Sus scrofa: one gene and its partners. The protein of the gene in region 1 interacts with the protein of each later gene in a pairwise test. Links are inferred from orthologs where the notes say so. Each region holds a gene or a part of one and is shown in the gene's direction. Other genes may lie near its edges.

Region 1 (2,654 bases):
ACTGTGACATCTCATTCCCCACAGATCCGCAGTGGTACCCTGCCCGCCAGTCCCTCCGCCTGGACCCCAGTGAGTACAGCTGTCTGCCTGGCTCCCCCTGGGCTTTTGGGTGGCAGTGGGTGGAGGCCCAGGCAGCCCCTGAGCCCTGGCCCACCTCTTGACAGAGGGCAAGTCCCTGAAGGATGAGGACGTTCTGCAGAAGCTGCCTGTGGGCACCACGGCCACACTCTACTTCCGGGACCTGGGGGCCCAGATCAGCTGGGTAACGGTGAGTGCAGATGCCCCTCTCCCAGTAGCCTTGACTCTCATCTGCCACATTGTGGTGACTCACTTTGCCCCTCCCCAGGTCTTCCTGACAGAGTACGCGGGTCCCCTTTTCATCTATTTGCTCTTCTACTTCCGGGTGCCCTTCATTTATGGCCACAAATATGACTTCACGTCCAGTCGGCATACGGTGGTGCAGTGAGTAGGGCCAGGTGGGAGCTGGTGGCAGAGGGAGGGGAAGGCCTGCCGGACCTGCCCCTGCTAAACTGACTTCCCCGACAGCCTCGCCTGCATCTGCCACTCATTCCACTACATCAAGCGCCTGTTGGAGACGCTCTTCGTGCATCGCTTCTCCCATGGCACTATGCCCTTGCGCAACATCTTCAAGGTCAGCCCCCAGCTGCCCATCCCAGGCCCCTCACCCTTGGCCCGCCCTCCCTGGTCTTCCTCACCTCCACTGGGGCAGGCTCCATCCCGGCCCCGCTCCCTTTCAGAACTGCACCTACTACTGGGGCTTTGCTGCATGGATGGCCTATTACATCAACCACCCTCTCTACACACCCCCAAGTAAGTGGCCTTGGACCCTGTTCCCCCTGTGAACAGCCCCCTCCCTGACCCAGGCTCTCCCCTGACAGGCCTTCCTTTCTGCTTCCTCTTCAGCCTATGGAGCTCAGCAGGTTAAATTGGCACTCGCCATCTTTGTGGTAAGCAGTCTGGGGTGGATGATGGGGTTGGGGGAGTCTGTGGGGGTGCCCTCCGAGCTGACCCTGCTTCTTTGACAGATCTGCCAGCTTGGCAACTTCTCCATCCACATGGCCCTGCGGGACCTGCGGCCAGCAGGTGAGTGGCCTCCTCCAGGCAGGGGGGCTGGCTTCCTGGGCAGGCTGGGCTGGACTAGGGTGTTCTCACTTCTGTCCTGTCCTTCCAGGGTCCAAGACCAGGAAGATCCCATACCCCACCAAGAACCCCTTCACATGGCTTTTCCTGCTGGTGTCCTGCCCCAACTACACATACGAGGTGAGGGTCTGCCTGGCTCCCCTCCCCTGTCCCTCCTGGGGTTCGGGATCCTGTGTGGAGGGCTAGTCTTTAGGAGGGGGGTTGCCTAGCTTCGTAGCTGCTTTCATAGTTTGAACTTAAAGTACCTGGAGAAGGAGATGGCCTCTTGGGGGCCGGGGGGGCAGCTTCACCATGTAGTCCCCCCTTCACCTCCTTTACTCCAGGCCCTTCGAGCCCTGGAGTTTGGTTCCCACCCCCTTACTAGAATAGAAAGTAAGGGTTGGTGGGGAGGTGGCTGGGAGGGTGGGCGGGGTCTTGACAGAACAGCTGGGGCTGTGCAGCCCTGCCCACCCTCGCCCTGCCTGCCCCGTCCACAGGTGGGGTCCTGGATTGGCTTTGCCATCATGACACAGTGTCTCCCAGGTGAGCCTGCTGCCCCTTCCCCAGGTGGGGCCTGTCTGCCCTGGTTGTGTGCAGCCCTCCCTGACTCCACTGCTCTGCCCTACAGTGGCCCTCTTCTCCCTGGTGGGCTTCACCCAGATGACCATCTGGGCCAAGGGCAAGCACCGCAGCTACCTGAAGGAGTTCCGAGACTACCCGCCCCTACGCATGCCCATCATCCCCTTCCTGCTCTGAGCGGCTCCCCCCACTCAGGCTCAGGCAAGCTGGGCTCTGTCCCCCTGCCCCGCCCCAGTGTCATCCTGGGGGAGGGGTGGGAACTGTTGCTCTCTAGTGCCTGGAATAAAACCTGCCTGCCCAGCTGGACTCAGACTCAGGGTGTTTCTTTTGGGGGTTGGTTTAGGGACCAGCACACGACAGAAAGAGGCAGAGTTTGGGCCAAGGGGCCTGGAGGCTTTTATTTCTTGACTGGTCCACAGGGTGGTAGGTGGGCCCACTACAGGGCCATTTCGGGAGCCACCTCACCGGGCCCCTGGCCTCTGGCCATTTCTGCTTCCCTCTGCTCCCGCCGCTTCTTCCGCTGGAGCAGCCGCCGCTCCCGCTCAAACTCCTTCATGCGCTTCACGTAGCTGTGGGCAGAGCAGAGAAGTGGTGTCAGGTCCCCCTCCCCCAGCCAGGACACAGCCGTCCCATAGTCTGAGAAACTGATGGGACAGGAGCACGTGGCCTGTGGCACTTGGGGGGCCTGAATAGGAAAGACCTGTGTCTGTGGATTGTCTGGGGACCACCCCCACCCCCTCAGGTGGACACCAGTGAACCCAGAGCAGGGGCTGGGCCTCCCACCTCAAAGGTCCAAGGCAGCCTCAAAGCCACTATCCCACCCAACAGCCCCTTTGGGGTCCTCTTTCTATTGAGGTGGAAATTTGGAGGGATGGGGTGTGGGGCTCACTCTAGGTGCTCGCAGTAGTCCCAGTCATGCTGCTCATGCTTGCAGG
Region 2 (3,449 bases), on another chromosome or scaffold:
TCCATATGCCATGGGAATCAGCCCTAGAAAAGGCAAAAAGACCCCAAAAAAAAAAAAAAAAAAAAGAGTGAATAGGCTTGCAAGCTATATCAGCAGATACTCATTATCTAGTTGTGTTGCCTCTAGAAGAGCAGTAACCACTTGCTCTCCTTTATATCAGCCAGAACGTCACATCTCAGTGTCCAGGCTTGAGCCCAGATCTTTTGACAGATATTACGAGTATACATTCCATCCTGAGAAGAGAGCAGATGATGAGTTAAAACTTTTGCCCAGATTTTTTTTTCACTTGGAAGAAATGTCAAGTGTTTTAAAATAGCTAAAGAGGAGTTCACATCACAGCACAGTGGAAAGGAATCCGACTAGGAACCATGAGGTTGCGGGTTCAATCCCTGCCCTCGCTCAGTGGGTTAAGTAAGGATCTGGTGTTGCCGTGAACTGTGGTCTAGTTCGCAGATGCGGCTCAGATCTGGTGTCGCTGTGGCTGTGGCATAGGCCGGCAGCTGTAGCTCTGATTCGATCCCTAGCCTGGGAGTCTCCATATGCTGAGGATACAGCCCTAAAAAGCAGTAAATACATAAATAAAGTAAAATAGCACCCAGAGATTGGGTGCTAGGTAAATCCGATAGGTAGAAAGAACAGGGGCAGATGTTGGCTCATGACAAGGAAGTGTTTTTTGTTTTGTGTTTTTTAGTTAATAATTAAAATGGTTCTGGCTTGTGAGGGCGTTAACACCTGTTCTCGGGGGCATTCATACAGAAGCAGAGTGCTCAGGAAGGCTGTAGAAGGAATTCGCCCATTGGGAAGCTTGAACTCCGTTGCCTTCAGGCTCTTTGGTCGCACCTTCTTCTGATGTTACCCTTTTCCCCAATGTCCCTCAGATGGAGGAACAAGTTCTGAGACGAGTGCGAAGGAAGATTCGAAACAAAAAGTCTGCTCAAGAGAGCCGCAGGAAGAAGAAGGTGTATGTGGGGAGTTTAGAGAGCAGGTATAAAAGGGAGAGGGACTTCGGGGGGACAGGGAGAACAGAAGTAATTGGGAGCGTCAGGTTTCTGAAGGATGGGTACAGGCCATATCCCCACAGCCCTGTTATTTCTCCAGGGTCCTGAAATACTCGGCCCAGAATCTGGAGCTACAGAACAAAGTACAGCTCCTGGAGGAGCAGAATCTGTAAGCAGCTCTTCGACCTCAGTGCTTTCTCATTCTTCCCGTTTAATACTTTCTTATTTCCCCTGCTCCACACTTGATTTCTAACTGGGCAGCTCCTACATGCAAGGCCTGGTGTTGGCCTTTCATGGGTATCTGATTCCAAGAAGTTCACAGCAATGGGGAATAAATTCCCAAGTTAACTACAGATAAGTATCAAGAAAGAAAGAGGGAGCAAAAAAGACCTCACGTGGCAGAAGGCATTTGACAGTAGATGGGGATTCTGGAGTGGCGGCAGGGAGCATTTTAGGCAAAGAGAACACCACATAGTCTAGTGTGGCTGGAACCCTAACCCAGGTGAGTTGGGCCATAAGGTAGAGAACATAGAGGGAGTTCCCTGGTGGCCTCCTGGGGTAAGGCCTTCTCACTGCTGTGGCTCTGGTTTGATCCCTGGCCTGGGAACTCCCGCAGCATGTGGGTGTGGCAAAATAAATATAAAAAAAGAACATAGAATCCCTGAAGAGGATTGAGTGTGGAGCTGATCAGGCAGTTGTACAAGCACTAAAGGTGTTTGCAGAAGGAGTTTAAGTCAGGGGCAGGGCAGAGTCCTGTGTGTTTGTTTTAATGAGGAACTTCAGGCATTTTTGTCTAGAGAGGAGGTGATCACTTGCAAAAATAGGTCAGAAAGTAAGAGAGAGGATCCAGTGCACAGAGGGAGGGGTGGCCTTAACAGGAGGATTTTGTTACATGTCAGGGTGCCAGGCCGGGGGCTGCTCACTGTCCCCCGTTCTTCTGCTAGGTCCCTTTTGGATCAGTTGAGGAGGCTGCAGTCCATGGTGATTCAGACGGCAAACAAAGCCAGCAGCAGCAGCACCTGCATCTTGGTGAGGATGGCGATGGAAGGAGAGATTCTTTTCTCAGGTGGCAGGGACAGGGGTGCAATCCAGAGCTCGTCCTCATCTCTTTTTTTTTCCTGTTTGTGCTCCAGGTCCTGCTCTTCTCCTTCTGTCTCCTCTTCGTACCTGCCATGTACTCCTCGGACACAAGGGGGAGCCCGCCAGCCGAGCATGGAGGTGAGAGGCTTGAGACCACTCAGGAAGGGCCAGGGGGGGAAGCCAGGGTGGCCCCTGAACAGTCTGTGTCTCCTCAGTGTTGTCCCGCCAGCTTCGTGCCCTCCCCAGCGAGGACGTTCCCCAGCGGGACCTGCCTGCACTGCAGTCAGAGGTACCACAGGACAGCTCAACCCACGAGCTCCAGGCTCCTGGCAACTCTTGCTGCCTGTTCCACCACATGGCTTGGGCTCCTGGGGCAGAATCGCCCATGAAGCTGCCACTGCCCGACCGCTTCTCAAGGTCTTCTAGCCCAGGTCCCATCTTCCCCCTGCATGCAAATCTCACAAGAGAGGGAGGATGGCTCCCTACCCACAGCCCCATATCTGTTACCTTGCAGGGCAGGTACTCAGGCTAGATGTGAGAATGCAGGGGGCCTCAGCCAGAGCCTGGTGCCCCCAGTCTGTGTTCAAAGGAAAAGGAATGGGAGAGGGTGAGCCTCAGGTCCTGTCCCCTGTCAGGAAGCCTGAGGGCACAAACACACCACACTTACTGGCTTTCTGGGGTTTTATTTGCACCCATGTATGTCTGTTGTTCCATTAAGGGGCCTGGGAGAGTCCACTGACTTCCTTGAACATTTCATGCAATGAGGGGATGGGGTGAAGAAAGAAATAAATAAGTGATTCTGATGCTTGGGTCACCCTCAACCCCTCTTTACTGGCGTGGTTGGTGGGGAGAAGGGAGCGCATGATTGTCCTGGTGGCTCAGGGTTGCAGGAGTCTGGATGGGGTCGGGGTGGTGGAGGAGGAAAGGCCTGGCTGGAGGCTGGGCTGTTAGTGCCTCCTTCCCCCTCTGGGCTCAGGTTTGCATGGCTTCCTTTGGTCCAGGTTTTAGGCCGGAGCTTTGTCCTGTGTCCTGTTTGGCTGTTGGCCCAGAGGCCTTTTTATGCTGCTGCTGCTGCAGGGCTAGCTGCATGGCCCAGATGCTCAGTGGTCGCATGTAGGCGAGTGAGCGGAACACCCGCTGCTGGCAGTATGCCTCAGGGGTCTGGAAGGCCAGGCCCAGGCGCTCCCACACAGTACGGTAGCAGCCTTCTGCTGTACGGAAGCCCTCCCAGGTCAGGCCCTGTAGAGAGAAATGGCCATCATATTCCTCGGCAACCCCTGAAGAGCCACTTCAGCTGGACAGATGGAGACAGTAGGTCTCTGCCCTCAGGGAATTCCCAGCTACGGAGGGAAATAAAACTGACTCACAGGC
Region 3 (4,346 bases), on another chromosome or scaffold:
CTCTAAATCTAATTGTCTACTCAACCTTTCCATTTGGACGTCTAATAGATTTCAAACTCAACAAATAAAAACAAAATTCCTGATTTCTACCTTTAAAATAGATTCTTCTACAACTCAATTATTCCAACTTACTGATAATGTCTTTTACGTCATACTCCACAATATATCAACAAATCTTGTCAGCTCAACTTCTAAAATAGGTCCAGAATTCATTTCCTTTTTCATTACCTCAATTGCGACCACTCTGGTCCAAACCACTATGACTAGGGCCTGGATTACCGCAACAACCTCCTAACTGCTAACACTCTTCACCAATACATAATTATTTTCATCTGGCTCTCTCTAGATAACCTCTGAGAGATCCAGGATTTTTGAAGTCTTTTAGTGCCATGAACCCCAGGTGCAACCTTGTATATGCTCCATAAATACTTGCTGGAAAGCACAGACATGTGTTTTATACCACTATATGCTCAATAAGTAATTTAAAGAGTTGTTTGACTATGTGAAAATCGGTGATTAGGAGACTTTTACAACCCCAAGGCCCCCAGAACAAAGCAGTGATCCAGGAAAGTAGGGTCAGCTGCTTGAAGCAGTTTCCATAAGTTGTCCCAATTTCCGTATGCAGACAGGTTTTCCGTATAAGCCAACATCCCACTATTTTGGGTCACTGTGTGTGGAAAGCCTCTCTCTTCACTCTGCACCTCACCCTTAGCCAACCTCACCCTTGTCCTACCTGGCTACGGGCGAGCCCACGCAGCTTCAGGTTGGAAGGCGCACTGGGGGACCCTCGAGGCCTTCATGGATGATACTGGATCCTAGGCCACACGGGCGACTTTAATTGGATGGGAAAGAGACCATACTTCTCATTGACCTTACGCACCGCACAAGTAGCTTTAAAAAGCCAGGGAATAAACCTGCGGAGCCTCTATCTTCAACCTGGCCACAAGGTGAAGAAGGATCGGTCCCCTCGCCAGCTTCTGGGAATGATGGGAAGTCAAATCAGCCTCAATAGCCCTGACCCATAATGGCAGGTTACTCAAACCGCAAGCAGAGGGGTGAACATACGGCTATCGCCAAGAGGCAAGAAAGGGGAATGAAAACATCATTTTCTTAATCTAACTTAAGGTGGGAAATTACGGGAGACAATAACCCTGGACCACCAAGCAGCTAAAAGGCAGTAAATTCCAGAGTGCGCAAGGGAGGCCAAAGGCTGCACTGACCTAACCCAAGATGGCCCCTGAGGTTATTACCGGGAGTGCAAAAGAGCGGGCGATTACCCTGATCCAAGATGGCGGGGGTGGCTGAAGCGAGCTGCGGGGCGGGGAACGCCAGGAGCATCTTTGCCCTCCTCCAAGATGGCGGTCGTCGTGGGCGCTGTCCCTGGCCCCGCCCCGCGGCCACGGCCCCGCCTTTCCTTCACCCCTCCCTCCACCCACTCGCAGTGCCCACTCCTGGAGGTGGTGCTCGCGCGAGGAGAGTCGGCTCTCGGCACTTGACATGGCGGCAGCGGCGGTGACTGCAGCGACGAAAGGGAATGGGGCCGGCGGGGGCCGGGCCGGGGCCGGCGAAGCCAGCGGCTCACGGAAGAAGAAGGGCCCGGGGCCTCTGGCCACGGCGTATCTGGTCATCTACAATGTGGTGATGACCGCGGGGTGAGGCTGGGGCTCAGGAAGGCGGGAGAGAGCCTGGCTGGGGAGGGGGCTCTGCGGCCGGCAGGCTGAGCGGCGCGGCTCGGTCCGCAGCGCGCCGGGTGTCTCCGGTAGCGGATGTTCGAGTACAGACACCTGGGCGCTAAGGGCAGCCGAGGCTGAACCCGCCCGAGTGCCTGCCCCGGACTCTTGCCTGGGCCAGGGGCCGAGCAAGTTCCCAGCCACCGGGCGTGCCCTGAGCTGGAGTTCCGGGGCTTCTTGGGGGATAGAGAGGTTTCCCAGGCGCTGGTCCGTAGGGCCTTGGGAGGACGGGTGGGCTGGCCACACGGCAAGGTTTGGGGGGCTGTGTGCCGAGCTATCCTGTAGCGCGGAGAGCCCAGGCGGCAACTCACGAATGTCTAGCGTTCCCCCTAAAGTGGGTGGAGGGAGCTCTGGCTGCAGAGTGACCATTTACTGAGGCGGCTGTTTTCAAAATCCAGGCTGAGCTTTAATGTGGAAGAAAGGTGGTGGAAAAGCGTTCAAAGTTTTTGCCCAGTGACTTGAGCAGACCTGCTTTAGAGGAGTTTAGACTTTTTGGGATGGACTGAGGTAGGAAAGACACTGGAAGGCAGTGGTACTGGGAAGGAGGGGAATAGACCCTGGAAACCGATTTTACCCCTTTCACTGTTTCTCATTTAAGTCCGTCCCCTATCACAGCGAGTTTTTAGTTCTAGTTATGGCACCAACTAGCTGTGTGACTTTGGATAAATAATTTTATTTCTCTTGGCCTCTGTTTTTTCATCTGTATAAAGACTTGAGCTAAATGATCTCCAGGGTTCCTCCAATTCTTTGATCCCATGATTTTCTGTGAGGAGATTCACAGAATCAGACTGTTTGTTATGTATTTTTAAATTGTATTCATTTGTAAAAATTTTTAAACATTTATTATGAAAAATGTCAAAATTGAAAGAACTGTATAATGACCATCCAGTTTTATTTTAAAACTAGGTAATATATTGGCCAAGTGCAAAATTCAAAATATATGCAAGGGCATACTGTGAAAATCTTCCCTCTCACCTTCCCTTCCACCCAGAATACCTCCCTAGAAGGCGGATCGTTTTTTGTATCTCTTACTCGTACCAAGCAAATCTGTATACATTACCTGCACACACACTTTAAAAAAAAAACAAATGCTAATGTCATGTTTTAGCATTTCACCACCTTTTCACACACACACAAAACATCTTGAGAGGATCATAGGCTTTATTGCTAGTATTAGAAATAGCCGGTATTGCAACCTAGGCTCAGAGAAACTGTGACTTGCTTGACTTGTTTGAGCTCACAGAACTTGTTAGTAGGAGATGTGGATCTAGAATACATTTCTCTTAAAGGCCAATAAAGAAATATTACAGATGCAAGTTCTCTGTATCACACAAATGGTTACAGAGTGAGTTTAAGAGAATATTCAAGAGTGTGTGTGTATTTATATTTATATGTAAAATTCTTGTCATTTATCAAGGGCATTGATGAGAACACTGTGTGGGAGAAGAATTTTAAGGTACATTGGGAAAGAGGAAAAGAAGTCCTTATTCCTGAGCCATGGAGATAGAGAATAGGGTGCAGGCAAAGAAGAGAAGTTGGGGTTGTGAGAGTAAAGTAAGCTTTTTTTCTTGGCGCTAGTGCTGAACCGGTTACACCATGAAGAAATTCATCTCTTGCTTTGCAAACTTTCGTTTGATATCTTCGTATGACAGTTTGTAGAAATAGCAGACCACAGCATGCCCCATTGCCTAGTACACACACATAAGTAAATCTATTACTGCCTTCATAGAGACATACATTAATAAAGGTCCATTCATTTCATTATGGAACTTACAAATAAAAAACTACAAGGCCTGAGACATTTACTTTGGAAGACAGAACAGAAATGTAATGTTCAGAGTCATGCCTAAATGCTTCCCTGTTTTGTGTTTTGTATTGGTCTGGCTTTCTTTACTGAATTGATTTTGGGAAACTCAGCTAAAAACCCTTTTGTTCTTTTTTTAAAAAATAGCCGTTTATTCATATGTCATTTTCAGTCTTTTAAAAGAATAGATTTTTAAAGTATGAGTCTGTTCCAGTGAGATACTCATATCGTTTAAAATCTTCTCGCCACCTTGTTATTATTACAGACCCTTTAACCACACAAGGCATTTAAACTTTTCCTTTAATAGTTTTCTTTTCTTTTCTTTTTTTTTTCCTTCTTGTCTTGGACTTTCTGGCACCTAACTGCTCAAGGATCAGTTTAGCTTATTCCCTTCTTTTTGGCCTTGTTCTCAACAGGCAAGGTTGCCAAAAAGCCTAGCTCCAGATGGGTGAGGTGCCACTGTGCTTTTGCAAAAATTCCTCTGGGTAGGGTGCTTTGATGGTGCAATGTTTCAGTGCCTTATGTACAGCTTGGCATTTGACGGTAAAGGTTGATAAATCTAGCAATATCTCCTTTAGCACCATTAGCAATATCTCTTGTTGCCCAATCTTTCTGTTATAACCCTACTTAACTTTTTTTTTTTTTCTTTCCTGATTGCTCTTTTTCTTAGGTGGCTCGTTATAGCAGTTGGCCTGGTCAGAGCATACCTGGCTAAGGGTAGCTATCATAGCCTTTATTATTCCATTGAAAAGCCTTTGAAATTCTTCCAAACTGGAGCCTTGTTGGAGGTGGGTCCTGACATTGGTTGTTGT

The links.
Region 2: the proteins of TECR (region 1) and CREB3 interact in a two-hybrid assay, tested with the Homo sapiens proteins (2 studies listed by BioGRID and IntAct). The two-hybrid records come from large-scale screens. The link is inferred for Sus scrofa from reciprocal best matches to the Homo sapiens genes TECR and CREB3.
Region 3: the proteins of TECR (region 1) and HACD2 interact in binary tests that used the Homo sapiens proteins (3 or more experiments, as listed by UniProt). The link is inferred for Sus scrofa from reciprocal best matches to the Homo sapiens genes TECR and HACD2.

What each region holds. Positions count from the first base shown.
Region 1 is NC_010444.4:64,723,069-64,725,722, reverse strand, and holds the end of TECR (very-long-chain enoyl-CoA reductase), read left to right. Parts: coding exon 1-69; intron 70-164; coding exon 165-268; intron 269-346; coding exon 347-462; intron 463-546; coding exon 547-652; intron 653-758; coding exon 759-831; intron 832-924; coding exon 925-968; intron 969-1,046; coding exon 1,047-1,104; intron 1,105-1,192; coding exon 1,193-1,281; intron 1,282-1,637; coding exon 1,638-1,683; intron 1,684-1,768; coding exon 1,769-1,896; 3' UTR 1,897-2,025; downstream 2,026-2,654. Other genes in the region: NDUFB7 (NADH dehydrogenase [ubiquinone] 1 beta subcomplex subunit 7), read right to left, coding at 2,156-2,288, 2,609-2,654. UniProt on the Homo sapiens protein: Involved in both the production of very long-chain fatty acids for sphingolipid synthesis and the degradation of the sphingosine moiety in sphingolipids through the sphingosine 1-phosphate metabolic pathway.
Region 2 is NC_010443.5:236,453,493-236,456,941, forward strand, and holds the end of CREB3 (cyclic AMP-responsive element-binding protein 3), read left to right. Parts: intron 1-878; coding exon 879-985; intron 986-1,098; coding exon 1,099-1,167; intron 1,168-1,942; coding exon 1,943-2,027; intron 2,028-2,131; coding exon 2,132-2,216; intron 2,217-2,293; coding exon 2,294-2,610; 3' UTR 2,611-2,881; downstream 2,882-3,449. UniProt on the Homo sapiens protein: Endoplasmic reticulum (ER)-bound sequence-specific transcription factor that directly binds DNA and activates transcription. Plays a role in the unfolded protein response (UPR), promoting cell survival versus ER stress-induced apoptotic cell death.
Region 3 is NC_010455.5:136,832,685-136,837,030, forward strand, and holds the start of HACD2 (very-long-chain (3R)-3-hydroxyacyl-CoA dehydratase 2), read left to right. Parts: upstream 1-1,418; 5' UTR 1,419-1,497; coding exon 1,498-1,652; intron 1,653-4,204; coding exon 4,205-4,322; intron 4,323-4,346. UniProt on the Homo sapiens protein: Catalyzes the third of the very long-chain fatty acids (VLCFA) elongation four-step cycle (condensation, reduction, dehydration, and reduction).